Linked DNA regions of Mus musculus. The protein of the gene in region 3 purifies or fractionates together with the protein of the main gene of each other region. This does not show direct contact. Links are inferred from orthologs where the notes say so. Each region holds a gene or a part of one and is shown on either strand. Other genes may lie near its edges. The genes, in order: Nlrc4, Nol3, Casp8, Tnfaip3 and Birc2.

Region 1 (6,592 bases), on a different chromosome or scaffold from region 3:
AAGACAGCTTCAGTGTACTAAACATAATAAATAAATAAATCTTTAAAAATAAAAAATTAAAAAATTAATTGTGATGTAATCTCTTATATGTAGGCTATCTGATGTGTGACAGCCCCCCTTCCCCCCACCCCATAAATGGTCGTGACCCACAGGTTGAGAACCCCTGAGCTGATGTATGGGTACTCACATTGGACATACATGGCCAGCTAAATTAATATGTCAGAATAGGTTAATATGTCAGAATATGGGGGGGGGGTTGTTTTGTTTGTCTGTTTGTTTCTGAGACAAGATCTCTCCATTATGTAGTTCTCCTGTCTTGGAAATCACTATGTACACCAGGCTGGCTTTGAACTCACAGAGATCTGCTTGCCTCATTTTTCTAGAATGCCTGGCTTAGAATGTTCTTTTTAAAACAAGTAGTTGTGTAACATTAAACAACAACAAAAAAAAACCTACAACAAAAATTAAAACAGTCTCCAGCAATTTGTGCAAAGACAGAGGAAAGAGTTGACAGAGAGCACTGTTGACAGAGAGCAGCGAGGCCTCTCTGTTTCAAGCTGAGTATGTCTTAGCTTTCTAGTATATTCGGGGATGCTGAGTATGTGTATGTCCGCTCAAGTCCCTGGCTTTGTGAGTTCAGAAGAGTCTCATGCATTATCAATCGTGTGGACACCTGACTAGCCTGGGCTAACTTGCCCCGACCCCAGTGACTGAGAGTACAGCTTTGCTGGAAACCAAGGTACAGAGATAAGTTTGTTTGCCTCTGTCCTCAGTGACAGTATGCTTGAACCAACCAAACCAGAACATTTCACTTTCCATCTTTTCTCTGTCCACCTCTTAATCCCCATTCATTATGAAAAAACCGAGTGAGGCATAGTGGCTCATGCCCACAATCTTCTTAGAAGGCAGAGGCAGGAGGATCAGAAGTCCAAGATAAGACAAGACATGCAAAAACCATACTGAGTGTCTAAAATACCAGAATTAAGAGTCCAGACAGAAGCTGATCAACTGATTAGAACTTTTTTTTTAAAGATTTTTATTTACATGAGTACACTGCAGCTGCCTTCAGAGACACACTAGAAGAGAGCATCGGATCTCATTACAGATGGTTGTGAGCCACCATATGGTTACTGGGAATTGAACTCAGGACCTCTAGCAGAGCAGTCAGTGCTCTTAACCACTGAGCCATCTCTCCAGCCCCTTTGAACTTCTTTATTATCCACTTCTGTGTCTGACCTATCGGGCAAAAACCTGTGGGATTTATTAACAAAGCTGGGTACCAGCTCATAACAACCCAGATGGCTCAAGATGGCCTCAGATCTGGAGTCTTTACCAAGGCTTTCTTTTCTTTGCTACAACCTGCCTACCCAATGTTTCCACCAATGTATTTGAAATTATGTTGATTGATGACTTTTTTGTTGTTGTTGTCCTGTTAATATAAAAGCTTCCTGAAACTAAGTAGTGATGTGCCTTTAATCTAAGCACTCAGGAGGCAGAGTCAGGTGGGTCTCTGTGGGGTTCAAGGTAGCCTGATCTATACTGGGAGTACCAGGGTAGCCAAGGGTACGTAAAAAGAGTCTGTCCCAAAACAAAACAAAACAGAATAACACACACACACACACACACACACACACACACACGCACACACGCACACGCACACACACAACCTTCATGGAACAGTTGCTGCTTTTGAACTTTGAGTACCCTGTCTTCCTGGGCCTTGTCATTCAAAGCTTTCTCATTCCCTTTGCTTGGAGAAATAAACAGTTGTTAACTCTTTTTTTTTTTTTTTAAATGCAACATACCTTTTAAAGATTTATTTATTCATTTTTTTTTTAATGTATATGAGTACACTGTTGCTGTCTTCAGACACACCAGAAGAGGGCATCAGATACCATTACAGATGGATGTGAGACACCATGTGGTTACTGGGAATTGAACTCAGGACCTCTGGAAGAGCAGTCAGTGCTCTTAAAGGCTGAGCCATCTTCCAGCCCCAGTTGTTAACTCTTTACCACATGAATAACCAGGAAGCAAAGAGTGCCTAAGTTCAAAGTCCCTACTTCCTGGCTACTCAGTCACTCCTTTTTCTTGCTACGTAATTATGTAAATACCCCGATTATTATGGTTCTTAAGCAAGAGAAGAACCCACCAGGCACTTCCTTTTTTCTACAGTTGTCTCTCATGGACAAAGAAGTTTGGATTAAGAAAGAAAGAAAATTACTTTTAAGACGACTTTTCCTTCGAAGGCAACTGGATTGCTTGGCCAGGTACCTCGGGGAGAGGGAATAGGTTTTTAAATCAGTTTTAGAGTCAGATCCTGAAATTAGAATTTAGGTCCACTGAAGCCTGTGTCTGTGAGGTTGTCCTGCAGTGGATGGTTTGCCCATTGGGCTGATTTGCCTGCAGGGAAACTTGGTTTGAGGGTAGGCAGTGTTGGGGGCGGGTGGTTAGCCTGGTTGGTCTGTTGGAGTTTAGCTGCGTTTTTCTGAGTTGGTGTTAAGGATTTGGAGCCCTAGAGAACGCCTTTGTATTTACTATGGAGACAAAAAGACTTAGAAAATGCTTTTTGGCCTCACAGGAAGGAAACCCAGAGCTGAGGGAGAGAGAGACTGCTTGGTCCGTCCAGTGTCCTGAGCCTCTGACAAGATACTTGAACTTGGACAGAAAAGTTAAGCAAGTCCCTCTTGGGGATAGGAAGAATGCTTATAGAAAGTGTGTTACAGACCTGCGTTGTGTGCTGAGGTGTTTCCAGCCCCAGTGTGTCTAGGAAGTGCTTTACAGACTTGAGTTGTGTGATAACAGATAAGGTGTGTCCATTCTTTATCTCAGAGCATCTTAATAACCCCGTTGCCGGGGTGGAATCAGGCTCTCCTAACTTCCCTTAACCTCTTTTATTCTTCCAGTCTCCCATTACTCCCACTTGTGCCTATAGACAATTTTCATACACTATTTACATAGCACTAAGAGTATTCAGTGAGCTGCGGGTGTCCAAAGGAGATCTAAGAAGATTCTAGATCAGGACATTTTTATACTGGAATGATAGATGAATCACAGGGACTGGTGGCCTCTGTTCCATCCGTCTTCCTGGTTAATCATCGCTATAGTCCCAGGCTTGGAGCAGATGTGAGTGCTAACAGTTCAGCAAAGGAAGCATAATCCAGAGGCAGGGGAGATGCTCAGGGGGAAGGGGCACTTGTCGCCGAGCCTGTTGACCAGAGTTTGATCCCTGGGACACAGATTATTCCAGGAGAGAACTGACTTTTGCTAGTTTTTCTCTAATCTCTACACAAATGCCGTGGCACTCTCGAGCACCCCTACCCACCCACCCACCCACCCACCCACACACACACACCAATCAACCAATGTGAAAAAAATTTACACATGCTGCCTTTCTGTAGCCAATTATATGAGTTCTTTCCCCCTAGTTGTGGGAGTGACACACGAGACGTAGGTCAAGAAGGATTTCAGTTTTCTGAGGAACTCACATCACGATCTGAAAGAACATTATCACTTAAGCTGGATGTGGGAGCTCATGGCAGTCATCTTCACACTGAGAAGGCTAAGACCAGAGCGTTACCATGAGTCTGAGACTAGACTGAGCTAGACAGTGAGTCCCAGGCCAGACGTGGCTATGCTGTATGACCTTGTTTCAAATAAGAAAGAGAATCTTATTTGCCAAGGCATGAACATAAGAAAAGGATCGCTTCCACACAATTCCGGTATTTTGGGTGGGTAGGAAGATTTTCAGGGCATGACTCCAAATCCAGATGGTCAAACTGGTCACAACTCCACCTTGTTTTGAATTGTATGTATGTATGTATGTATGTATGTATGTATGTATGTATATATGTATGTATTTGGTTTTTGAGACAGGGTTTCTCTGTGTAGCCCTGGCTATCCAGGAACTTAACTCTGTAGACCAGGCTGGCCTCGAACTCAGAAATCCACCTGCCTCTGCCTCCCAAGTGCTAGGATTAAAGGCATGTGCCTGGCTTGCCTTGAATTTTTAAAGAATTAATTTTTGTTCTTAACAATTATTTTTAATGTGTGGTGGTGGTGGTGTGTGTGTGTGAGTGTGTATATGTGTGTGTATGTGTGAGTGTGCGTGCATGCATGTGTGCGGGTGGGTGCACATAAGTGCAGATACTCATGAAGGCAGTTGTGAGTTGCCCAACATGGGTATTAGAAACCAAACTCAAGTCCTCTATAAGAGCAGTTTGATGGTTTGTACCTGCTTAGCTCAGGGAGTGGCACTATTAGGAGGTGTGGCCTTCTTGGAATACGTATGGCCTTGTTGGAGTAGCTGTGTCACTGTGGAAGTGGACTTTAAGACCCTTGCCCTAGCTGTCTGGAAGCCAGTATTCTGTTAGCGGCCTTCACATGTAGAACTCTCAACTCCCCCTGCACGATACCTTCCTGGATGCTGCCATGCTCCTGCCTTGATGATAATGGACTGAACCTCTGAACCTGTAAGCCAGCCCCAGTTAAACATTGTCCTTATAAGAGTTGCCTTGGTCATGGTGTCTGCTCACAGCAGTAAAACCCTAGATAAGACAAGCAGTATGTGGTTGGGTTTTTTCCCCCTCTTTTAAACTTTAAGTATTTTCGAGGTTATATTTTAATTACGTTTCTCCCTTCTTTTTCTTCCCTGTAAACCTTGCCATATGCCCCTCCCTGCTTGCACTCTCTCTCTCTCTCTCTTTCAATTTATAGCTTCCCTTTCATCAACTCATATCACATGCAAAGGTGTACTTATATATACATTTATATTCCCAAATATAGCCTGTTGAGTCGGTATGTTACTTGTATGTGTATCTTCGGGGTTAACCATTTGACGCCGACCATTTGATTGTCCCTAGGACAGGCTCCCTGCTTTACCAGGTTGTCTGTAGTTCTTCCTGTAGGACTGAGTCCTCATGGGCCTGCCACTCCCAGATCCAGTCCCCCATGCAATTTGGCTTGTTCGTTGGTGTCCTCCTTGTTCAGTTCATGTTTGGGAGGTGGTGTTGGTGAGACTCTATGGGTGTAGCTTCTGACATTACTAGAAGACGCAATCTCCCAGTAAACCCCTGATCCTCTGGCTCTTACAATCTTTCCACCCTCTTGTGGGTCTGTGTATCTGAGGCTTTCCATGGAGATCTCTGGCCCTGCCAGGTGCGAGGGTTCAGGCCCAGGGGAGAGAAGGAGAGCGGGGAGGGGGAATTGCCTCTGCCTCCACCTCTGCCTCTGCCTCCGCCCCCACCTCCGCCTCCACCTCCACCGCTTCTCTTCCAAACAAAACAAAACAAAACAAAACAAAACAAAACAAAACAAAACAAAACAAAACAAAACAAAACAAAACGCAACGCTGCACCAGCTCTGCTCTGAGTCGGGCCCTCACTGGCGGGAGGCTGACTAGCCAGCGAGGGATTCGAGGGAGCTTCTGCTGGCATTTCGGGAGAGCAGGTGGTCTCTTCCCTGGCGGTGGTGTTTCACAGCTCTTATGAAAGACACTCTCAGAAGAGTAGTTCTCACACACCTTTATTCCTTCTGGATAGGATCCTTAAATACAGTTTTGGGACTAGTCAGGGTCTGACAGCAGGTACTTCCAATTAGCTTGGTCTGAGAGCTTGCAGATACCTTGTCTACATGTCGGAGGGCTCTAGGTGCTGCCCCTACAGGATTGATGGCCACCAACATCTCTACAGGGTGGGTGTAGGGCTGTGGGAGGCTGTGGTTACGTGACAGAGGCTTGGTTCTGGGAGCAGGCAAACTCGTCCTGTTCCTTCAGGGTCTCTGAGGCTTCTAACCTTAGCTCAACCTTACCAGGTTTCCTCTTACAGTCCACTGCCCCACATCCCCTCTTATAAGATTTATTTCTTTTATCTCAAGTGTTCTGCATACTTATCTCTCTCTATATATATATTGTGCATGCCTGATATTCTATGGGGCGGGAGGATCCCTTGTAACTGCAGTTACAGATGTGAGTGTTGGGAAGCAATCCCAGGCCCTCTGCAGGAGCCACAAGTACCTGCTGAGTCATCTCTCCAGCATCCTCAGCCCAGAGATCCAGGCTACGAGCTTTCTATTTTCAAAGCAATTAAAAATTAGTTATTTGGTCGGGTGTGGTGGCGCACGCCTTTAATCCCAGCACTTGGGAGGCAGAGGCAGGCAGATCTCTGAGTTTGAGACTAGCCTGGTCTACAAAGTGAGTTCCAGGACAGTCAAGGCTCCACAGAGAAACCCTGTCTCAAAAAAAAAAAAAAACAAAAAAAACAAAAACAAAAGAAAAAAAAAAGTTATTTGACTCTGATTTAGTTCTTTGCTATCATTCTGTTAGTAAGAACAATATTTTCAGTAGCTAAACTGGATTCAAACTCTAAGCATATTTTCCTGGTGATTTTATGGTTTCTTATTTACTTCCTTCCTCTTTTTTTTTTTTTTCCTAGTCTCACTTCACCTCTGGCCCAGTCAATGGAGGATTAACTCTTTCCTCTCAAAAAAAAAAAAAAAGATATTCTCCTAGTCACTGTTCTACTGTTAGGAAGCGACACCATGACCACAGCAAATCTTATAAATGAAAGCAGTTAATTGGGGCTGGCTTACAGTT
Region 2 (5,355 bases), on a different chromosome or scaffold from region 3:
CTGGGGCACACAGAATGAACTGGGACGAAGGAGATGAGAACGTAAGTAGAGAAGAGCTTGCCCTGAACCAAGAAGTTGTCTGGAGTAGGCTGCGAATGGATTTAGGTAGGGCTTGGGATGACTTGTAGGGTGTGAATTTTGGGGCGGGGCACGAGGATCTAAGAGTCTCTACTAGAGGTCCTTGGAGTGAGTTCTCCGCCCCCTCCTCCTCCTCCTCCCTGCAGGCACCCACTACCTGCGTGGTGTGAATAATTCGCGGCAACCGTGGCACAGCACTGAAGGCAGATTGCAGTACGGCCTTCAGCCAGCCAACCCTACTGAGGAGGGCCTGGCTAGCCTGCATAGTGTGCTGTTTCGAAAGCAACCATTCCTGTGGCGCGCCGCCCTGCTCTACTACACCATCCACCAGGCGGCGCACATGTCCTTCCGCCAGCTCTTCCAGGATCTGGCGCAGTACGTGCAGGACGAGGGTGTACGCTGGGAGTACTGCGTCCGTGCCAAGCGAGGACAGACGGATACCTCCCAGCCAGGTGGGAACTGTGGAGTCGCAAGAATGCTCAAGCTGGCGCAAGGTGAAGGGTGGCTTTTGGGTAAGGCTCGATTGGTTATCCTTCTCACAGGCTGCTTCAGCAAGGACCAGGTGTACCTGGATGGCATTTTGCGCATCCTACGGCACCGGCACACCATTGATTTCCAGCTGCTGACCTCGCTGGGCAAGGTAAAGGGCCGAAAGGCCCAGCCAGCTCTTTCTTCTTTAGAGTTATGTTTGGTGAAGGCCTCGACACTTGGGAAGGCAGACAAAATGAGACAAAGTTTTGGTAGCACAGATCAGGTGTGTGACCTAGCCTGCAGATGTGTACATAGGTGTTAAGGGAGGTGAGCACTCCAAGGCAGGGAGAGGTCAAGAAGTTCTGGGGAAGAAGGTGGGAGAAATGGCCAGGGACCAAAGCCCAGGTCTTGTACCAGGTTGAGGCAAACCTCGATAGAAGCAAAGGGGGGGGGGGAGTATCGTAAATGTGTGGGCATGGATTTTCTTTAAAAGGCTCCAACTGAATGTTCTGTGGGAAGTGCAGGAAATGGAAGACCTAGATAGGCAAGAGAAGGAGGTCTTCCATCACTCTTACAGAATTGATAATGGCAAAGCTATAAACTACAGATAAAAGAACTGTTGGACTCCCTGAATGGGGAAATGAGAACCTAGTCGGCCTTTCTTGGACCTGATTGTGGTGACTATGCAGAGGGGAGGACAGACAGCTGACATTCAACAGTCTCCTGTTGGATGTGGGAGATAACCCGAGAGAGAGACCCAGGTATCAGTTGGATACCATTTAGAGGTGAGGAGATAAGGTGGGCTGGAGAGGAATGGGTTGTACAACGTAGATAAAAGATAGAGAGAGAAAGATAGAAGATCCAGGGCAGAGCCTGAAGGTATCTATTGTAGGAGTCGATGAAGAATATACACAATCATCTCAGGAGCAAATGGCCCTGAGCCATGGGTAGATCCTGGACTTGAAAGCCAGGCACTTTGATTAGCTCTGAGGCTCAGTTTGCTTCCTATAGGTCTCCTATGAAGACGTGGAACAACTGCGGCCCTACGGGGTGCTAGACAATACCAGAGTGCCCCACTTCATGAAGGACTTGGAACGTTACCGGCAGCAGCTGGAACACATCATGACCACCAACCGGCTGGATGAAGCGGAGCTGGGCCGCCTGCTGCCTGACTGATGTTGACTAAGGGTTATAGACAGACGCTCTTGACAGAGGTCACAGATCGGAATATGAAGTTCTTTATGGTTCCATAGCCTAGGTGTTTCTTGGGGGCATTTGGGAGGCCAGGAGCATCGTGGGCAGATGAGAAGCAACGTTAGAAGGTTTTTGTCCTTGCTACCCTTCCTGGGGCCTGTGAACTGCAGCAGCATGTCACATAAACTCCTGAGCAGGGGAGATGGGAGGGCGATGAGATGGGAGCTGAGTGTGAATAGAAATGTGGGTTGGTTTGGGAATAGAAACTTGTTCCTGCATGAGATGGCTTTGGGTGTCTGGTACCACTCCTTCCCTTCCCCCTACCTGGCCGATTGGTGCTCCTTCTACACTCATACCTCTACCTCTCACTGGGGCCAGCAGGAGTTGGGAACCCCTCTGAGGTGATTTGCCTGAGCATGGGGTTCCGGCTGTCACTCAGGCTCAGAGACCCAGCTGGGCTGGGCTTTGCCTTTCAGCATTCTGTCTGTCTCACTGGTCATGCATTGTTCCATAGTCGCCCTCATGGGGTCATTTCATGCCTCCAGGCGGGGCCCGGAAGTAGTAGTAGTAGTAGTAGTAGTAGTAGTAGTAGTAGTAGTAGTAGTTCCATGTAGGGGCAGGATCCTTTGGAAAAGTACCGTATGTTCCTAGACCCCTTCCTTCCTTCCTTCCTTCCTTCCTTCTTTCCTTCCTTCCTTCCTTCCTTCCTTCCTTCCTTCCTTCCTTCCCTCTCCCTCTCTCCCTCTTCCTTCCTTCCTTCCTCCCTCTCTCCCTCTTCCTTCCTTCCTTCCTTCCTTCCTTCCTTCCTTCCTTCCTCCCTCCCTCCCTCTCCCTCTCTCTCTCTCTCTTCCTTCCTTCCTTCCTTCCTTCCTTCCTTCCTTCCTTCTTTTCTTTCAAAGACTTATTTATTTTATGTATACGAGTACACTGTAGCTGTCTTCAGACACACTAGAAGAGGGCATCAGATTCCATTACAGATGGTTGTGAGCCGCCATGTGGTTGCTGGGAGTAGAACTCAGGACCTCTGGGAAAGCAGTCAGTGCTCTTAACCACTGAGCCATCTCTCCAGCCCCCTAGACCCCCTTTCTTATCACTCACACAGACACACTGTGTCTTGTGTCTTGTGAGTCCAGCACCTGGTCCCACCCTCAGTCCCCATGTTAGTCTTGGTTGTGCCTGTCTTTAACCACAGCCTCACAGCTGGTCTCTGGCAGTGGTTAGGACAGGCGGGAGCAACCACAATCAAACCTACAGGGCAGGCCCTAGGGTTTGTTATCCCACGTTCAGGCCAGGATTAGTACAGAGCTGGTTAAGGCTTTCATTTCACTTCAGATTCAGCGGTGGGAGAGTGAGCTAGTACTGTCCTAACCCTGGCTTTTCAGTTAATGTTTCCATCTGTGAAGCTTGGAAACACAGCTGGGAAGTTTGTATTCATTTACTTAGTAGATATGTGCAGAGCTCCTTGTGTATGTCTGTGACTGGTTAGACCCCACGCCCCTCACTGAGCTCCCAGTTCAGAGGAAAGCCAGACAATTAAACAGCAGTTACAATGATGTGTGTGGCTTCTGTCTACTCAAGTTTCCTCTCAGGTCCTCCCTGCAAGACTGTGAGCGCCAAGACTTCTCTCCATGTGTGGATGGACATCCCCCTTCACTTGCTTGGTACACCAAGCCGAGTGATTTCCATGGATTAGAAGTGTTGCCCACTCGGCCTCCCAAATGGCCCCTGAGGGGAATAAAGTGGGTGAGGGAGGGTCAGATTTGGGGGCCTGCATCTGAGATCTCCAGAATTACAGCTTGGGCTCTTTGGGAAGTGGAATGTTTTTGAGGGGATGGGGGTATTTTCACACAAGCCTGCTCAGGTCAGTGGGATTCAGACCCACGCTCACCCTCAGTTCTTGAGCAAAGAGCCAGACTTGTGGAGAGTCAGGAACAGACTGACCCTCCTGAGTTTATTCATTTGGCAGTAGGTGTCTCGGTGCATCGATGGGGTCAAGCTCTGGCAGGTTTCCAGGTCTTATCCAGCACAAATAGGATTGGACAGCTAAGGATTCTGGCCTTCAGGAATCTGGAGATGAAAATGATGGTTAGTGGAATAGGGATCAACCCCCCCCCCCCACACACACACACTTTGCAGTCCACAACCCGTAACAAGCCTGCAAGCAAGGGTTTAGGCGCTCTCACAACCTTCAGATTCATCCTCTTCTTGGAAGTCGGGCTCGGGTTCGGGTTCCGGCTCGGGCTCGGGTTCTGGCTCGGGCTCGGGTTCCGGCTCGGGCTCGGGTTCGGGTTCTGGCTCGGGCTCCGGCTCCGGCTCTTGTTCTGGATTCATTTCTTGTTCCAGGTCTGGCTCATCCCCTTCAGTAGCTTCAGCTTCTAGTTCTGGCTCCTCTGGAGTTCGAGGCTGCAGTGCCTCAGAGCCCTCAGGACCTCCGACCTCCTCTTGCTCTGACGCTCTTGGCAGCTCAGGACATGTGGTCCCTGAACTGGGTGCTTCTGGCGTCCAGTGGCCTGGGCATGAAGGGTCATAGCTGCGGTTCCGGTAGCCTGGGAAGGAAGAGGGAGTACTTGAGGTTCAGTTCACCCCTCTGTGGTTACCTCCAAATTCTCTGCCCTCCATTTACCCTTTGCTTCGCCCTGCCCCTAATCCACGCCCTTCGATTCATCAAGGCTCCACCCTCTTGGTGCTCACCGGGCCCCACGTGCTGCCAATCCCAGGCCGGGTCTGGCATGCGCACTGTTTGCTGGGCACAGCGCAGTAGCTCCTGGCAGGCTGCCTCGCCCTTGCTCTGCACCAACAGCAGTAGGCGGCGCACCCTGCGCTCTGCATCGGGCAGCGCATCCAAGGCTTCGTACTCGGGCCCAGTGAGGACGCCCCGGGCCACCAGCGCATCCAGCAGCAGCCCAGAGTCAGCCTGCAATGTCTCTACCAGCCGTTTCCGTTCCCGGTCAATGGTCTCTGATGGGCGCTCCTGCACGTTGCCCATTTCTGCTGTGTCAAGAAGGAGAGAAGGGGGCGGGGCGTAATTTGCGTTACTCTACGCTGACCAGGAGTTATCTAAGTTCACCTCAACATCAGAGTCTGGATGGTTGCTCAGCGCAAGACCTAGAGGCCAGGGGCCCAGAACGCACCCTCCAGCTTCTTGGCTGCTTCTGTCCTGATTCCTCAGGTTTCTTTTGCAGACTCCACCTGTCAGTGGAGTGCTCTTCCCAGCTAGGACCTCCCTCCCTCCTAAGCCCCAGACACCTGCACAGTTGGCTACCAGTTGAGACCCAGTTTATCCAACTGAATTATTTTGTCTGAACCCAATTCCTTACCTAAATAGGCAGAAAACCCTAGGCTTGATTCATACCTTCTTCCTCGCCCCTGCAGCAAACCTTGGATCAAGGGCAGCCTGCCTGATCGCTCATACAATCGGGTCTGCACCCGAAGGGCCAAGGCACCCGTGTTCCATTCACCTAACACGGAGGTCCAGGCATCCCAGAACCTTGCCCCTTCATTCACCACCGTCCGCAGCCTCAACATAGTCTTGGGACTCTTCCAGGTTATCGTAGCACAACTGAACTTTAATTTTGAGAGATCTCCTGGTATCAGGGACCCACTTGTTTCCCT
Region 3 (5,862 bases):
TCACTGACAGTACTCCTCAGGGAGGCAGGCAGAGCCTTGGGTCTGACAAGAGAGCTCAGGAAACAGCAAGCTGCTCACCTCTGCTGACTGTACCTCAGGTGGCCCTAAGTGTTCCTGGAGTCTAGCAGGCCTCCTTCTAGGGAAGGGAGGCAGAGCCATGGGCTTGCCAATGTCACAGAGCAAAGCTTGTCTGTAGTTGTGCCCCAGGTGGAATCAGCAGTCAGAGGATAGGTGAGGTAGGGTCTAATCTGGGTGTTCCTGGGGACCTACATGCCTGGATGTTCCTGAGGCTGGGCAGGTCTCCTGGAGAGGAAAGGCCATGGTGCTGGGGGCAGGGGAATAGGAGGAGTGGACACAGCATGCAGCTCACCTCTCTATCAAGCATTTCTTATTCATTTTATTTATTTATATTTCTTACATATCTATTTTCTGCTGTTTCAAAAAATAGGTTTTAAAATCAAAGTAATATATTCATCATGATAAAATGATAGCTTTCTTTTTTTGTTTTTGTTTTTTATTTTACTTGTAATTCATTTTTTTACACTCCATATTCCATTCCCGGCCTCTCCCCATCCACCCTCTGACTGCTCCACATCACACACCTCCTCCCCACCCCACCCCATCTCCACATTCCCCAGCTCATCTGACCTCTATACTCTCTGGGGCATCTAGTCTCTTGAGGGTTAGATGCATCATCTGTGAATGAACACAGACCTGAAAGTCCTCTACTCTATGTGTGTTGAGGGCCTCATATCAGCTGGTGTATGCTGTCTGATTGCTGGTCCAATGTTTGAAAGATCTCATGGGTCCAGATTAATTAAGGCTGCTGGTCCTCCTACAGAATTGCCCTTCTCCTCAGCTTCTTTTAGCCTTCCCTAATTCAACAACAGGGGCCAACTGCTTCTGCCCATTGATTGACTGCAAATATCTGCATCTGACTCTTTCAGCTGCTTGTTGGGTCTTTCAGAGGGCAGTCACGATAGGTCCCTTTTTGTGAGTATTCTATAGCCTTAGTAATAGGGTCAGGCCTTGGGACCTCCATTTGAGCTGAAAATGATAGCCTTCTAACATTTATAATGAAGAGCATCAATGAACTTTAAAATTTTTTTAAATTTTATTTCATATATATATATATATATATATATATATTTCTATGTATGCCCCTTTGTGTGTGTGCATATGTGTGTGTGTATACTTGTGTGTGTGTGTGTGTGTGTGTGTGTGTATGTTTGTGTGTGCGAGGGCCTTTGGATCCAGAACAGGACAAGTTCTATGCAAGAGCAGCAAGGACTCTTAACCACTGAGCAATCTCTCTAGCCCTGAGCTTTACATTTAACTCAACTAAATGAAAAATATTTCTGGAGAATGAATTAGTCAAAACCAATTGCTATGGTATCCTACTTACTCTGGGTAGTTTGCTCATGAAAGTTTCTCAATTGCAGCAGGAGTTGTGAGCTCCCAGCAAGATGCTAAACTAGTGAGACCTGCCTTGGGGCAGCCTACTTATGTTTATACTGAGAGCTGACAAGTTAAATGGAACAATATTCATTTATAAGTATACAATATACCTATAACAAGTATAAGAATACAGAAATGGGTGCCGGGCATGGTGGCGCACACCTTTAATCCCAGCACTCGGGAGGCAGAGGCAGGTAGATTTCTGAGTTCGAGGCCAGCCTGGTCTACAAAGTGAGTTCCAGGACAGCCAGGGCTACACAGAGAAACCCTGTCTTGAAAAAAAAAAAAAAGATACAGAAATGGGGCTCAAAGATGGCTCAAGAGCACTGACTGCTCTTCCAGAGGTCCTGAGTTCAATTCCCAGGAACCACATGGTGGCTTACAACCATCTGTAATGAGATCCTGTGCCTTCTTCCCGTATGTCTGAAGACAGCTACTGTGTTCTCATATACATAAAATAATTCCTACCAATTCTTACCAAGAATTCTTTCTCCTCTCAATGTCCCACCTTCTCTTTCCTGCCTAAGCCATAGGCCATAGGCTTTTTAATTGACAGGTAGTGCATCCATACAATGCACATAAGATGCTCTCTCTGCAGGTGACTCAGTAGTTAAAAGCACTGACTGCTTGTTCTGAGGCTTCAGATTCAATTCCCAGCACCCACATGGCAGCTCTCATGCTGCCTGTATCTCCAGTTCCAGAGGAGTCACTCTCTTCTTCTGGCACGCACATACATGCGATAAAAGCACTCGTACACACAAAATGATAATGTAAAGCATTTAAAATACATGGACAACAATAAACATATGCAAGGTTAAGACTCAGGAAGTCAGACCAAAAGAAAACACTGATGGAAAATGGGAACAATAGGAGTTGAAATGGAGAATACTGGTCACAGATGCCAGATCTGTGACCATGAGAGCCATAAGACAAAGACAAGGAAATGGACCTGTGCAAGAAGTGAGTGTACGTTCTCCAGTCTGAAAGCGCTTGTTGCATCTTTGAGATTGAGAGGGAGGGGTATGGACAAGTCAGATACGTAGAGCAGTCACAGATCAGGATATCACTGAATTTCATAATAGCAGATCTGGAAGCTAAAAGATGAAAATTCAGAGGAAAGGGGATTTTGGAACGAATGCTATATCTAGCTAGACTGTCAAAAAGAATGAGAGTAGAAATGAATCCTCATGGTGCAAGAACTCAGCAAAGTTCCAGCTGGCAGTACACAGCACTTTCAGCAGGCAACAATAAACATAAGGAGCCTGTACAATCCGATTGGTGGTGATGCAGAAGGACCGCTCAGGTTCTGGTTCTTGCCTACAGGCTGTGTTCTGGGAATGATTGTAATTCATGGTTTCCCATCTTACTTTTCAGAGGCTCTGAGTAAGACCTTTAAGGAGCTTCATTTTGAGATAGTATCTTACGACGACTGCACTGCAAATGAAATCCACGAGATTCTAGAAGGCTACCAAAGCGCAGACCACAAGAACAAAGACTGCTTCATCTGCTGTATCCTATCCCACGGTGACAAGGGTGTCGTCTATGGAACGGATGGGAAGGAGGCCTCCATCTATGACCTGACATCTTACTTCACTGGTTCAAAGTGCCCTTCCCTGTCTGGGAAACCCAAGATCTTTTTCATTCAGGCTTGCCAAGGAAGTAACTTCCAGAAAGGAGTGCCTGATGAGGCAGGCTTCGAGCAACAGAACCACACTTTAGAAGTGGATTCATCATCTCACAAGAACTATATTCCGGATGAGGCAGACTTTCTGCTGGGAATGGCTACGGTGAAGAACTGCGTTTCCTACCGAGATCCTGTGAATGGAACCTGGTATATTCAGTCACTTTGCCAGAGCCTGAGGGAAAGATGTCCTCAGTAAGTTTGGCCTCCTGGGCCCCTCTCAGGGTTATGCTTCCTTACTCATTTCTGTGGTTAGAGCCCATTAGAAGGTGCTTTATGGCCGAGATAATATATACTAAGCAGAGAAGTAGCCATTGGCATGTTCCATCTCTGAATGTCTAGCTGTAGCTGACACAGTTGTATTTCCCAGGTCAGTGGCAAAGTGGGAGAGATGGCACGTATTGTTCTCCTTAGTTCATAGATGGGAAAAGAATATGTTTACTGAAGAGTTTCCTTTATTTAGCAACCGAGGTACCACAGAGCCAGAGAGGTTGCTAATACCACACAGTCCAGCTCTGTCTTTGGGTAGTAACTGACTAAGGCAACTCAACCCCTTTGGGGAGTCTTCCCAGATGGAAGCAAACCACTATGTTTAACATACCTCACCTTTGTCAGAAGCCATGTTTTAGAGCTGGCAAGATGGCTCACTGGGTAAAGGCACTTGGTTATAAGTCTTATAACATGAATTAGATCCCCAGAGGCCTATATGGTGGAGAAGACCAACTCCTTCAAATTGTCCTATGACCACCAAATGTGAACCATGTCATGTGCCTGTGTGAATAAGTAAATGTAATTTTTAAAAGTTAAGAAAGAAATCCTCTCCAATTGCTATCTAGCCTTGAATCTTCTTAGCAAACTATAACCGTACTGAAGAGCAGGGGACCTCTATATCTCTACTAATTTGACCTGCTAGGAATCCACAAGTGTGGGATGATAGCCCTGTGGCATATGGTTCATCTCCAGTTAAATTAGGGCTCCATACTTCAGGTTCCCTCCCACTTACACCTGGCTGATAGCTGAACAATGAGGAGCCCTTCTACGGGCTCCTTTTACATCTCTGTCTTATCGTCTGGTGTCTGAAGAGTGAGAATTTCCCATGGCATGTGGAGAGTAGACAGGAACACCATCGCAGTGCTTTCATTTTGTAACACAGACCCTGAGTCCTACAGGATCCATGTCAGCTATGCAGATTGATGAAGAGGTTGCTCCACAAGATTGCTCAGACTGCTGGTGTCAGAGATGGGGAGGTAGCTACGGGAAATGCTTAGCCTTTACTTGCCTACATTTTAGTAGAAATCTGTGGATGATCCTGTAGGAGCAATGCTGATTTAGGCAGAGGGTACTGGGGGAAGAGAGGGAGGCATTTGTGAGATCCAAATGGCAACATGGGAAACATGGAGGAACACATAGGTTAACAGAGAAGGAAAGCAAATCTGATAGGAACTCTGGTTTCTTGTAACCAGCAGAGATTCCAAGTACACAAAAGTAACTCTGTGTGCTCTGAGAAAACTGAGTTGCCAGAACAGCGGTGAGAGGTCTTGATTCAGTGACTTTCAACTGCAAATGTCCGATGCTCTCTCTGAGAGACAGAACTAGAGAACCTACCTCAGGCACAGCCAGTGAGGTGGTGGGCACAGCCAGTGAGACAGTGGGCACTGCCAGTGAGATGTGGGTGGCACAGCCAGTGAGACAGTGAGCACAGCCAGTGAGAGGGTGGGCACAGCCAGTGAGACAGTGGGCACTGCCAATGAGACGTGGGTGGCACAGCCAGTGAGACAGTGAGCACAGCCAGAGAGAGGGTGGACACAGCCAGTGAGACAGTGGGCACTACCAGTGAGACAGTGGATATAGCCAGTGAGACAGTGAGCACAGCCAGTGATACGGTGGGCACTGCCAGTGAGACGGTGGGCACAGCCAGTGAGACGGTGGACACTGCCTTGTCCCATATGCTTACGCTGCTTTCTTTTTCAGAGGAGATGACATTCTTAGCATCCTGACTGGCGTGAACTATGACGTGAGCAATAAAGACGACAGGAGGAACAAGGGAAAGCAGATGCCACAGCCCACCTTCACACTACGGAAGAAGCTCTTCTTCCCTCCCTAATGATGTGTGCTCTCCACAGTTCACATGGCTTATCTGTGCACTTTTGTGTGGATGAGTCTAATTTATTTTTTAGAATTTCTTTTGCTTTTGAATTTACATTTACATAATTTTCCCTTTTCTTCCCTTTAAACCCTTCTTTGTTATGTTCCAATTTCAAATACATGGCCTCTTTTCTCATTAACTGTTGTACACACACATACATACACACACACACACACACACACACATTTCTAAATATAACCTGTATACTATCACTTGTATGTATGTTTTGTTTTGCTTTTTTTAAAAAATGGAGCGACCTTTGGTAGGCCAATCACACTCCAAGGCAGGTCCCTCTCCCAAGAATAGTTGGGCAATACAAATTGGCTTCCATGGGTTCACCTTTAATCTCAGCACTCTGGAGACAGAGGCAGGAGGATCTCTGAGTTCAAAGCCAACCTGCTCTACATAGCAAGTTCTGAGATAGCCAGGGCTACACAGAGAAAGCTTGTCTTGAAAAAAACAAAAAAGAAAACTTGAAGATGCATGAGTAAGAAAGCAAGACTGGAGCATGAATCTGGTTAACAGAATGGGTGAATGACGGGAGCAGGGACCTGGGGCAAGTTAACAGAGGGGGTGA
Region 4 (5,862 bases), on a different chromosome or scaffold from region 3:
GTTCTTGACTTGAGTAACTTAGTGATGGGTGGATGTGGGGTTTTGTTTGTTTTGATTCCGGGGACTCTTATATATCGCGCTACACCTCCCCTATATTTATGAAGCTTAGACTCTTAGAGTAGAGAAAAAGCTGGAGACAGTGATTCTCTGCATTGTTCTTGGCATTAAGTCAAGTGATGCCTAGAAGTAGATAATCATATTAACTTGTCATCAAGGGGCTTATAGACTTGACAGTTTGTGGTTTTTACCACGTCCCATTTTGTTACAAAAGGAGAGATGGAGCTGAGAGAATTAGAAATGGGGTAGAGAGAAGAAAAGCCTTATTTTATTTGCCACTCATAGAATTAGCAGACATTATATAGTATTTCCTTAACAGAGGAAATATCTAATTTCCTGTAGAAAGAAAATGCCATGTAAATGCTAAACACTTCCTTGGCCTTTGAATCAGCAAGGATTCACACTACAAAACCAAAGGTATTTTGGTAACTTGTTGGGCCAAGGAATTCTAATTTCTTTGAAGAAAAGTTATGAAAAAGAAAGCAAGTATTTTTTAAGGGGGGGGGGGTGGGGGGAAACAAGTGGCTTTCTTCCCATTTGATTATTATTAGCATCTTTTCTTTCCTTTTAAAAACCCCTCCCCTCCAGGAGGCTTTCTTCAAAGGCCGGCCTGTTTGGGGAGGGGGGGAGGGGGTAGGGGGGTTCACACGTCTGCATTTGAGGATCTGAGACTGTGGTAGATGAGGAAGGGAGTAGGTGGCATAAAATTGAAACTTCATGAAAATTCCAGCGTCTATTGGCCGCGGCAATTTCACTTGTATAGTGAGTAGCCCGTTCCAGCTCAGCCTGACCACACCCACTTGGAAAGTCCAGGGTGCAGTTCACAGTTTAAATGTCTACACACCAGAACAAAACGTACAACAACTGTTGCTCAATTGCTAGTCAAATATCTTCGCACTGGGGAATTCCACATGTTACTTAGGGAATTTTATACTGGTGCATCTCAATAAAGAACTGAAAGTAAGCCCAAGAAGAAGAAGAGAAAAAAAAAATAGCCTTATCTTTGCTCTAGATTTTGCAAAGGGGAAATTTCAACAGAATGTAGCCCTTGCCACACATCGGCCTAGACACTAGGCTCTAGTGATCTTTTCTGTTCAGTAGTTTGGGAAACTGTTTGAAGCATGCACGATGAAGGAGCAGTGACCCTGAATATGGATTTGACAGGTTGTTTACTATATTTAGAATATGATGGAATTTCAAATAGCTTTATTGCCTTACTGACTGAATAGTATTAAATACACACACACACACTTTAAACTTTTTAAAAATTAAAATTATGTAATACTTTCCAAACAAGAATGAAGAGCGGACTAGTTTTATACTAAATGGTTTCCCCAAATGTTTACTCTTTGGGGCATGAAAAGGAATGCAGTCTGGGACTGGATGTAGCTCACTGGTAGAGAGCCCTGGCCTGAGATTCCTCAGAATGCACTGGAGGCTGGGGCAGGGCCTGCATTATTTGGTACTGTCATTCCTACTTTATAAGCTAGGAGAGGAAAATCCCAGGTCCCCACAGCTAAAGTGGAATGGGCATGTCACGTACCACTGAGTCATAGTCAGACCAGCCCTATCAAGTAGGCCGAGCCACAGTGGTTTCCTGGTGTATATAATGCCTTGGACGGCAAAGCTTCCGTAGAACTAGAGAATAGTGGTATCAAGGCCTTAGCCAGCAAACCAAAGATTACCAGGAAGAAAGGACTGTAGTGTTCATAAGCTGGTGCCCTCATCCCACAAGTACACAAGAAAAGACTTTCAGGGATGTTCCCATATCATACAGACCAGTTAGGTGCAGAGCCATGCTACAGTGGAGGCTGGTTGGCACCTCCCACTGCTGGCACCAGGCACTACATAGAAGAATGAAAAGCTTCCTTATAGAATGTTATCAGCTGGTTAAAAATCAACTTTACAGTCCCCAGCAATGGTCTTAGTGTCTCCTGATAACCTTGGAAGGGCATTTGCTTTGGGCTGCTTAACCTTGCTCCTCACAGCTCCTTCTGTCCTCAGGTGATGGAAACTGCCTCATGCATGCAGCTTGTCAGTACATGTGGGGTGTTCAGGATACTGACCTGGTCCTGAGGAAGGCCCTCTGCAGCACCCTTAAGGAGACAGACACTCGGAACTTTAAATTCCGCTGGCAGCTGGAATCTCTGAAATCTCAGGAATTTGTGGAAACAGGACTTTGCTACGACACTCGGGTATGTTTTGCTTTTGTGTGGCAGCCCTATCTGTGGTGGACAAAGGCTACTCTCGGCCAGTCCCTGTTCCCTGAGGAACATATGACTTACTAAGTCATATGAGTCGACTTAAGCATTGCCCACTCAGTGGAAAACACCAAGAACCTTCTGTGGGTTTAACCCGGGCTTTAACCACTCTCTGAGCTAAATCTGGACAGCTGATTCCTAGGTAGGCGATTCTATGTCTTCCAACCTCCTCTTGAGAACTTCCCAGAGTTTCCTGGCTTAGCTGAGCCAACCAGTACTGGGGAGAATGTACCTCGTAATCTTCAGCCACAAGCTGGGAATGGTTCTGAACCAATGGAAGCAGAGCTTCAGGGTCGTGGATGTTCTGTTTGTTTTTGAGCTAGGGTATCATGTAGCTCAGGCTGGCTTTGAACTTGTTATGTAGCAGAAAATGATCTTTCTGCCTCTACCACCACAGTGCTGGGATTGCAGGCATGCATCGCCATGTGATTTTAGGTGGGGGAATCAAACCCAAGACCATGCTTGTTAGGCAAGCATTCTTCCAACTGAGCAACTCTTCCAACTGAGCTAGCCTCAGCACCCCCAGTGGGGGATTGTTATGAAAGCAAATGCTGTCTGTATCTCCCTCCCATCAGTTTTGAGCTTGCCCAGCAGTTGAGAAAAGTAAAGGAACCAAACCAAAATTGGGGCCGAGGATGAACATTCTTTTGATGAAGAAGCGTGAATGGAGTTTCTACAGCAGACAGATGCCGAGTGAGCGGCCTCTGAGTGAGTTGTTAATCCATCCCTCCTATGTTCTCTCCCCTTAGAACTGGAATGACGAATGGGACAACTTGGTCAAAATGGCATCAGCAGACACACCTGCAGCCCGAAGTGGACTTCAGTACAATTCCCTGGAAGAAATCCACATATTTGTCCTCAGCAACATCCTCAGAAGACCCATCATTGTCATTTCAGGTGAGGTGCCTCAGAGAGTTTCTAGGTTCCCTGGGTGAGTTTCAGCTCTGAGGAGAAACTGAGCCCCCCTGCAGCTGTCAGCCTACAGTGGAGGGAGCATCACAAAAGTCACCTGGGGTCTTATCTTGTTGTCTCTTTCCATCAACAGACAAAATGCTAAGAAGTTTGGAATCTGGTTCCAATTTTGCTCCTTTGAAAGTGGGTGGGATTTATCTGCCTCTTCACTGGCCTGCCCAGGAGTGTTACAGATATCCCATCGTCCTAGGCTATGACAGCCAGCACTTTGTACCCCTGGTGACCCTGAAGGACAGTGGACCTGGTAAGAAAACATCAGTTCCTATTCATGATCCTGATGGATCTTGGAGTTCCAGGCCTTGCTTTTTGTTCCCAGTTGACATTGTTTTGTTTAAGTTCATTATCTTGTCATCAGTCACGGAGGATTAAATATCCCTTCTGTGAGGTGCTTAGAATCAATATCATTTTAGGCTTCAGAGTCTTGACCATATCAGCATCCCTAATCAGAAATCTACATGCTCCCAAGTCAAGTCAGATTCGAGGGTTTGAGATTTTCAGATTAGAGTCAAACATGTTTGGCCCAGTACTGCAATAGCAGTGAACATGCTATCTGTCCCCTTATCTTCTTTGGTGTGACTTAGGAAGTGCATGCAGCATAGTAAACATAGGTTGGACAGTCATGTGTGCATACTTCCACCCCTATTACTACGTGACCCAATTAAGGTGCACAGAGCCTCAGTATCATGTTTGGCACAGAGCAGGTAGATGTTTAGCTATTATTGTAATACCTTAGTGTATAGTGAGCCCTGTGCTAGGGCGCTAGGCAGCATTGTTTCATTCCACTCTCATGGTGTCCTTCTGAGATGTTGACAGGAGTTGTCTTATTTTATTGATGAGGCCATGGAAACTCAGAAGGGTTAAATGACATGCCTAGCTTGACATTGACAAAATCAAGATTCTAACTCAGGTCACGCTGGGAGGCGTGAGAATTTAACCAGTTCAAATCTACTGTCTCTTTGCTGTGGTTACAAAATCAGCTTAGGTGACCATCAACAGATGGATGGACAAAGATACATCCATGATACATATACACAATGGAGTTTTATTCATCCATAAGGAAAAAGAGAATTTTGTCATTTGCAGAAAAAAAGATAGAGCAGGAGATAATTATATTAAACAAATAATACAGACTGAAAAACAACATATTTTTGTCTCATATATGGAATCTAGATTTTTTTTTAAAGGGTAAAAGGCATGATGGAATTAAAAGGCAGACGATGTTGAAAGATGGGGTGGGAGGCAGCAGGATGCTTTCCTACTCTTTATATGCCTTTTGTAGCTTTAAGTTAGAATCATTACATGACCATATCTGCACCATCATTTAGCAGGATAATGTTTTACTCACACATTCTTCTTTTTTTTTTTTCCCCTTCAGAACTTCGCGCTGTTCCACTTGTTAACAGAGACCGGGGTAGGTTTGAAGACTTAAAAGTTCACTTCTTGACAGATCCTGAGAATGAGATGAAGGAAAAGCTTCTAAAGGAGTACTTGATAGTGATGGAGATCCCTGTGCAAGGCTGGGACCACGGCACGACTCACCTGATCAACGCTGCAAAGTAAGCAGGCTCCTTTGACGTGTCCTCCTGGCTGGAGAACCTCTCATGGTGACAGGAAGTGCCTCTCACGAGCACTGGATGTGTCCTGTCATAAGCCTGCATTTTGGTGCTTGGTTATGAAGTTATTGCCACGACTGCATTGTGGAAGTGGGTTCTGGGAGCTAGTGATAAAAGGTCTTGTGTTATTTGGGGTCACTCATTTTCCTCTTTGTTCTCTAGATTGGATGAAGCTAACTTACCCAAAGAAATAAATTTGGTAGACGATTACTTTGAGCTTGTTCAGCACGAATACAAGAAATGGCAGGAGAACAGCGATCAGGCCAGGAGAGCGGCACATGCGCAGAACCCCTTGGAGCCTTCCACACCCCAGCTATCACTCATGGATATAAAATGTGAGACACCCAACTGTCCTTTCTTCATGTCCGTGAACACTCAGCCTTTATGCCACGAATGCTCAGAGAGGCGCCAAAAGAATCAGAGCAAGCTCCCAAAGCTGAACTCGAAGCTAGGCCCTGAAGGACTCCCAGGCGTGGGACTTGGCTCCTCAAACTGGAGCCCCGAGGAAACCGCTGGAGGACCTCATTCAGCCCCACCCACAGCACCCAGCCTTTTTCTCTTCAGTGAGACCACTGCAATGAAGTGCAGGAGTCCTGGGTGCCCTTTTACTTTGAATGTGCAGCATAATGGATTCTGTGAGCGTTGCCACGCCCGGCAGATTAATGCCAGCCACACCGCAGACCCTGGAAAGTGCCAAGCCTGCCTTCAGGATGTCACTCGGACCTTTAATGGCATCTGCAGTACCTGTTTCAAAAGGACTACAGCAGAGCCCAGCTCCAGCCTCACTTCCAGTATCCCTGCCTCCTGTCACCAACGCTCCAAGTCTGACCCCTCACAACTCATCCAAAGTCTCACTCCACACTCTTGCCACCGGACTGGAAATGTCTCTCCTTCTGGCTGCCTCTCCCAGGCTGCACGGACTCCAGGAGACAGAGCAGGGACAAGCAAGTGCAGGAAAG
Region 5 (6,628 bases), on a different chromosome or scaffold from region 3:
ATAGGATGCTTAGTTATAGGATGCTTAGTTATAGAATGTTTAGTTAGTCATAGAATGCTTAGTCATAGAATGCTTAGTTATAGGATGCTTAGTTATAGAATGCTTAGTTATAGAGTGCTCAGTTATAGGATGCTTAGTTATAGGATGCTTAGTCATAGAATGTTTAGTTAGTCATAGAATGCTTAGTCATAGAATGCTTAGTTATAGGATGCTTAGTTATAGGATGCTTCCCTAGCATGCAGAAAACCCTTGGTCCATCCCAAATGCCACCCAAACAAGATGAAACAAAACAAGTGATTGTTGGACAAATTAATGTTTGGTTTCAGACCTGGGACAAAGGACTGAGGTGCACATTTTACATATCACAGCAGACCTGGCCTTCAGGTTCTCCCAGCATCCCTTAGTCCTTATCCAGCATAACCTGCTCCTAACACTGAATTTTCCAACCCAGGGGCTGGGCTGCCCTTCTCCCCAGAGGGGGAATGCAATCCAGACATTTTGGCCTCTCGAATTCTCCCTATTTCTTTTCTCTCTCTCACTGTACACAGTCCACCTCCTCCCCAGACCGGCCTTGATCTTGAAACAAATCCTCTTACCTAAGCCACTATCCCTGCCACTTCATTGAATTTTAAGTCAAATATTTAAGTTATAGTATAATATTATGCTGAACCTATGCTGTGTATCACCAATACTACTAAATTTGTGTCTCTGTGTGCTAATTCTGAGCGGACTCTGAGATTTAGCAAACAGAGAAAGGCATATGAACAAGAATGTGCAGACTTACGCTTTTTATTCATTTATATATGTTATTGGATGTGCGTTTTGCTTGAATGGGATTGGGCACCGCATTAACTTTCATGCAGTGCCCATGGAGGTCAGAAGAGGGTGTCAAATCCTTTGGAACTCTAGTTACAGATGTGAACTAGGATGTGGATTTTAGGAACTGAACAAGGGTCTTGTGTAAGAGCAGCCAGTGCTCTAATTACTATCTCTCCAGCCCCTGGTTTTATTATACAATTTATGTTGTAGAAGTCTTTTCAATCATATTTTTCTTCAAAAGTGTCTTTAACTGTATACTTTTTTTAAAAAAATTATTTATTTTATGTATATGAGTACACCATTACTCTCTCCAGACACCCCAGAGGAGTGCATCAGACCCCATTGCAGATGGTTGTGAGCCCCATGTGGTTGCTGGGAATTGAACTCAGAACCTCTGCAAGAGCAGTCAGTGCTCTTAACCACTGAGCCATCTCTCCACTCTGAACTGTATACTTTTTTGTATATAAAATGAAAGATGTCATGATAACCACATCAGTATATGTATATATGTGTATTATATAATAATAAAATATATTTTTCAAAATTACCAAACTCTACATGGGCAATAGGGAAAGTCTTAGTTGAATTAATGGTCAACAAAATAAACAACTGGACTCCAAGATTATATATTATAAAAGAAGTAATAAGTTCTAAAACGTCTGAGTTTTGGGCATTGAAAATTTCCTAAATACTGAAGTAGGTCAGGACAAGAACTGAGAGAGACATATTCTTGAATTCAATGTGCACAGGCCCTGCTAGATTCCCACACATATTAGGAATGTTTTGTGTAACTTTCCAAGAAGTAGTGACTTGAACAAGGCATTGGCACATGTGTACCATTGGAAGTTTAGTCACTGGGAACCTTGGCACGTCTTTTCTGTGTATCAGAAACTGTCATGAATACTTTCTTTTTATTATCAGCATTTAGACCAGAAGACTGCCTGTTCTGTGACTGACCGACTTGCAGCAGAAATGACGGGAAAGAAAATGGGAAACGGTTCAGGGTCCCGGAATTCCCCTGGCAGCCTAATTTAGCGGTCTGTTTTACTTCTAAGTTTTTAAAATATTTGCCCATTTAACATGGAATTCCCCCGGAGAGAAGATCTGATTCATTCGTTAAGACCTTCAAGTCTAAAGTAAATTAAACTGTAGAAACCTCACTGGTAGTAGCCTACATTTCTAATCAGCACACTGGAGGCTGAGGTAGGATGCTAAATCCTCGGCTAGTCTGGGCCCTACAATAAAATCCTTTCTTAAACAAACAAATAAAAAAACTGCAAAACTAACCATAACAAATCATCCAAGCCAAACAGGGCCGCGGGGGTGGGGGTGGGGACATCAGAAAGTCCTACCCTGAATGCTAATGATTTTGCAGCACTTTCGGTACGGGAAAGGCAGCAGAGGGTGGGGGGTGGGGAGACAGACTGCTAGTGAACAATGAAGTCAGGGTTATTTTTCCAGTTTTAAACGTATTCTTCTACAATCTCATCACAGATATATAGTGCGCTTTAATCATACTCTCTCCCATTATACTGTTAACCCTTCAATGCCTTCCTCCAAACTAGTCCGCAGCCTTTTCCTTACTTTTTAAATTTATGGCCTGATGCGCTTAATTTGGGTCGCCTGCAAGAGCACTTTTTAAAAAAAATAATAATTTAAAAATGCATAACTACCTCCTCGCCCCAACTGGGTTTGAATTTCTAGGATTCGAGGTGAGCGCCACCATGCCGGCCTGCCAGAGGAGCCCACTTGTCAAAAATGTTAAAGCCCATCTTACAAAAAAACCAAATTATATTTAATGTACACGCACACGCGTGCATTCCGCTTTACTCAGGCGTTTCGAGGCCAGCTCACGAGCCTGAGCCGCCTTACCTATGACGCCACGTTTGCCTTAGTGCCTGTCTAGGACCCTTGCAGGGTGAGGCCGGAAAATACAGGGAGCTAGGAGGCGCGGCTCAGGGCTGCCGCCATTAAAGGTGCACTGCAGGTTAAAACACATGGCATCAAAGTCCGGAACGCCCAGCGGAGGCAGTGGGGCAAGGACGGACGCTCGGGAAAGCCTAGCCTTATTCGTCCGAGTCCCAGCGGCCCGAACGTTTAGCTTCCAAAGCCCGAGCACGCAGGCGCGAGCGCAGGCGCAGGCGCGCGCGACTGGCCCACAGCCCCACCCCGTCCTCCACGCGTTCCAACTTGCGGTGCGCGTCTGCTGACGTCACCTCAACGGCCCGCTGGCCGCAGGGGCTTTTGGGAAGGCTGCGGATCAACAATCAGGCGCCTCTGCTTCCAGGGCGCCGGGGGCCTGACTCGGTGGTGAGTGCGGCTGCCTTCGTCAGGACGGGCGAGCGTGGCTCTCGACGGCTGGGCGGGCTAGCTGACTCCTCCTTCGGCCCGGAAGGCAGTTCTCAGGGCCGCCCGACCCCCGCTCCCTGCCTAAGTCCTTGGGCTTGGACTTGTATAACAGTTTTGCTTTCTTTTCCTTTCGGTTTATTTTTTCAGTCAACCCAGGCTAGTCTCGAATTTGCGGCAATCCTCCTGCCTCCAATCGTTCTAGGTGCTGGGATTACTGGTGTGCAGCACCTCGGCTGTCTCTTCAGATTTTCTGCAGGTTTTTAAGCTTTAAGCCCGCGGCATTTAATGCCTTTAAACTAAGTTGTGCGGCAGGGGGATGACGGTTGTCACATCAGTTACTACTTGTCCCCAGTAGTCGTGTGAGAGGTTTGGTTTAACTGGGAAAGGTGTTCTCCATTCTTGTCTCTCCAAGCTACGTGTCGCCCCCCTGCAGTGGGCGTAGAGCCGTGTCGGTTGGGTGCTTGCTGGCGTTGTAACAGCTAGTGTAGTTAGGCCACACGGGTAGTGGTAGCTTTGTTCAGGCCACTGCTTTACCGGCACTTGTACTTTTTTGGTTTTGAGATGTTACCTGTGGTGGTTAGGGAATGGTTGTCCTTCACGGATTCCGTTTATGAGCTCTTCCCGGTGCCTTTATCTTGGCTAATTTAGCCCTGGCTAGTTCAAATGTTCTGTCCGGCAGGAGCGTTTCATTCCGCATCTGTCTTCCAAGTGTTGAGATTAAAATTGCAAGTATACCTCGGGAATCCTCAGGAAATATTTATATTTTAATATAATAGAAAATATCGTATATATTATTTATTTTATATTGTATTATAACTTAACATATGTTTATGTGTATAAATATATTTTATATGTACTTATATCTGTATTATATATTTCAATTAAATGTTTTAATAGAATATAAAAGTATATATAATTTTTTTCTTGTGATTAAACTTAGGGTTCTTTACCTGCAAGGCAAGTGCTCTAACATGGAGCTATATCAGTAGCCTTACAGACTACCTTTCCACTATTTATGGTGCCTTTTGTCTCCAGTGAAGTGCATATCAAAATATCTTTAAATCAGAAAACGAAAAGAGCCTGGTGGTAGTGTGGTCCTAGCACTTGGAAGGCTGAAGCAAGAGAATTCCAAAAAGTTTTAAAACCAGCTTGGGTTATATTGACTTTCTAGCCAGCCTAGTCTACAGAATAAGACCCTGTCCCTTAAAAAAAAAAAAAGTTCATGAAGTATAGTACATTTTTTTCTAATAGTAAATAAATAATATATAAAAGGAACAAACTTGAAAATCGGGGGCCAGTTTTTGACAAATGGAAATGTCCATTGTTTTCAAAGTTTTAATTTTTAAACTATACTGAGCTATGCATTTTAAAGACAAGCATAACTAGTACTTTGAGAATGCTTTTGCAGTGGTGTGTTTTGATTTAGACCCTTTCTAAGTAGACTGGTTGGGTGAGGAACTGCTGTAGTCAAGATTTGTTATCTAGAGTGTGTCATTTTTAGACATTACTGAATAAATTGATGATGACAATTCTGTGTAATTAGTTTTCTAAAATATTTTTTTTTCTTTCAGATTGATAGTCCTCAAGAGTCTTCATGTTCTCTTATGTTTTTCTAGAAATCAGCCCACTCATGGACATCTGAACATTTCTATAAGACGCTGCGGTTTGCTTTGCAGTGTGTTCTTGTGTATGATTAGTTATATAAAATACGAAGTTTTCAAAAAGAAGGCTAGTGCAACAGAAAAGCTTTGCTAAAACAGATTCTTAGTTATTTGAGGTAACAAAAGAAAGCCATGTCTTGAATTGATTCGTTCTTAATTATAACAGACTTATAGTGGAAAGGGCCTTAAACACAGGCGGACTTTATAAAATGCAGTCTTAGGTTTATGTGCAAAATACTGTCTGTTGACCAGATGTATTCACATGATATATACAGAGTCAAGGTGGTGATATAGAAGATTTAACAGTGAGGGAGTTAACAGTCTGTGCTTTAAGCGCAGTTCCTTTACAGTGAATACTGTAGTCTTAATAGACCTGAGCTGACTGCTGCAGTTGATGTAACCCACTTTAGAGAATACTGTATGACATCTTCTCTAAGGAAAACCAGCTGCAGACTTCACTCAGTTCCTTTCATTTCATAGGAAAAGGAGTAGTTCAGATGTCATGTTTAAGTCCTTATAAGGGAAAAGAGCCTGAATATATGCCCTAGTACCTAGGCTTCATAACTAGTAATAAGAAGTTAGTTATGGGTAAATAGATCTCAGGTTACCCAGAAGAGTTCATGTGACCCCCAAAGAGTCCTAACTAGTGTCTTGGCAAGTGAGACAGATTTGTCCTGTGAGGGTGTCAATTCACCAGTCCAAGCAGAAGACAATGAATCTATCCAGTCAGGTGTCTGTGGTGGAGATCTAGTGTCAAGTGGTGAGAAACTTCATCTGGAAGTTTAAGCGGTCAGAAATACTATTACTACTCATGGACAAAACTGTCTCCCAGAGACTCGGCCAAGGTACCTTACACCAAAAACTTAAACGTATAATGGAGAAGAGCACAATCTTGTCAAATTGGACAAAGGAGAGCGAAGAAAAAATGAAGTTTGACTTTTCGTGTGAACTCTACCGAATGTCTACATATTCAGCTTTTCCCAGGGGAGTTCCTGTCTCAGAGAGGAGTCTGGCTCGTGCTGGCTTTTATTATACAGGTGTGAATGACAAAGTCAAGTGCTTCTGCTGTGGCCTGATGTTGGATAACTGGAAACAAGGGGACAGTCCTGTTGAAAAGCACAGACAGTTCTATCCCAGCTGCAGCTTTGTACAGACTCTGCTTTCAGCCAGTCTGCAGTCTCCATCTAAGAATATGTCTCCTGTGAAAAGTAGATTTGCACATTCGTCACCTCTGGAACGAGGTGGCATTCACTCCAACCTGTGCTCTAGCCCTCTTAATTCTAGAGCAGTGGAAGACTTCTCATCAAGGATGGATCCCTGCAGCTATGCCATGAGTACAGAAGAGGCCAGATTTCTTACTTACAGTATGTGGCCTTTAAGTTTTCTGTCACCAGCAGAGCTGGCCAGAGCTGGCTTCTATTACATAGGGCCTGGAGACAGGGTGGCCTGTTTTGCCTGTGGTGGGAAACTGAGCAACTGGGAACCAAAGGATGATGCTATGTCAGAGCACCGCAGACATTTTCCCCACTGTCCATTTCTGGAAAATACTTCAGAAACACAGAGGTTTAGTATATCAAATCTAAGTATGCAGACACACTCTGCTCGATTGAGGACATTTCTGTACTGGCCACCTAGTGTTCCTGTTCAGCCCGAGCAGCTTGCAAGTGCTGGATTCTATTACGTGGATCGCAATGATGATGTCAAGTGCTTTTGTTGTGATGGTGGCTTGAGATGTTGGGAACCTGGAGATGACCCCTGGATAGAACACGCCAAATGGTTTCCAAGGTAATTGGTTCTTT

Evidence for each region.
Region 1: the proteins of Casp8 (region 3) and Nlrc4 purify together in Homo sapiens (affinity purification with western blotting; 3 studies listed by BioGRID and IntAct, with this or other methods). This does not show direct contact. The link is inferred for Mus musculus from reciprocal best matches to the Homo sapiens genes CASP8 and NLRC4.
Region 2: the proteins of Casp8 (region 3) and Nol3 purify together in Homo sapiens (affinity purification with western blotting; 3 studies listed by BioGRID and IntAct, with this or other methods). This does not show direct contact. The link is inferred for Mus musculus from reciprocal best matches to the Homo sapiens genes CASP8 and NOL3.
Region 4: the proteins of Casp8 (region 3) and Tnfaip3 purify together in Homo sapiens (affinity purification with western blotting; 3 studies listed by BioGRID and IntAct, with this or other methods). This does not show direct contact. The link is inferred for Mus musculus from reciprocal best matches to the Homo sapiens genes CASP8 and TNFAIP3.
Region 5: the proteins of Casp8 (region 3) and Birc2 purify together in Homo sapiens (affinity purification with western blotting; 4 studies listed by BioGRID and IntAct, with this or other methods). This does not show direct contact. The link is inferred for Mus musculus from reciprocal best matches to the Homo sapiens genes CASP8 and BIRC2.

The regions. Positions count from the first base shown.
Region 1 is NC_000083.6:74,454,684-74,461,275, reverse strand, and holds the start of Nlrc4 (NLR family CARD domain-containing protein 4), read left to right. Parts: upstream 1-2,167; 5' UTR 2,168-2,270; intron 2,271-2,581; exon of another isoform or gene 2,582-2,671; intron 2,672-2,682; exon of another isoform or gene 2,683-2,810; intron 2,811-6,592.
Region 2 is NC_000074.6:105,278,350-105,283,704, reverse strand, and holds the end of Nol3 (nucleolar protein 3), read right to left. Parts: intron 4,735-5,355; exon of another isoform or gene 4,732-4,734; 5' UTR 4,730-4,731; coding exon 4,435-4,729; intron 4,290-4,434; coding exon 3,930-4,289; intron 3,811-3,929; coding exon 3,803-3,810; 3' UTR 1,766-3,802; downstream 1-1,765. Other genes in the region: 4931428F04Rik (uncharacterized protein KIAA0895-like), read left to right, coding at 225-530, 621-718, 1,561-1,725.
Region 3 is NC_000067.6:58,841,512-58,847,373, forward strand, and holds part of Casp8 (caspase-8), read left to right. Parts: intron 1-2,832; coding exon 2,833-3,334; intron 3,335-5,110; coding exon 5,111-5,243; 3' UTR 5,244-5,862. UniProt on the Homo sapiens protein: Thiol protease that plays a key role in programmed cell death by acting as a molecular switch for apoptosis, necroptosis and pyroptosis, and is required to prevent tissue damage during embryonic development and adulthood.
Region 4 is NC_000076.6:19,004,535-19,010,396, reverse strand, and holds part of Tnfaip3 (tumor necrosis factor alpha-induced protein 3), read left to right. Parts: intron 1-2,061; coding exon 2,062-2,252; intron 2,253-3,067; coding exon 3,068-3,215; intron 3,216-3,363; coding exon 3,364-3,534; intron 3,535-4,665; coding exon 4,666-4,846; intron 4,847-5,065; coding exon 5,066-5,862. UniProt on the Homo sapiens protein: Ubiquitin-editing enzyme that contains both ubiquitin ligase and deubiquitinase activities.
Region 5 is NC_000075.6:7,833,491-7,840,118, reverse strand, and holds the start of Birc2 (baculoviral IAP repeat-containing protein 2), read left to right. Parts: upstream 1-3,061; 5' UTR 3,062-3,129; exon of another isoform or gene 3,130-3,893; intron 3,894-4,074; exon of another isoform or gene 4,075-4,739; 5' UTR 4,740-5,640; coding exon 5,641-6,614; intron 6,615-6,628. UniProt on the Homo sapiens protein: Multi-functional protein which regulates not only caspases and apoptosis, but also modulates inflammatory signaling and immunity, mitogenic kinase signaling, and cell proliferation, as well as cell invasion and metastasis.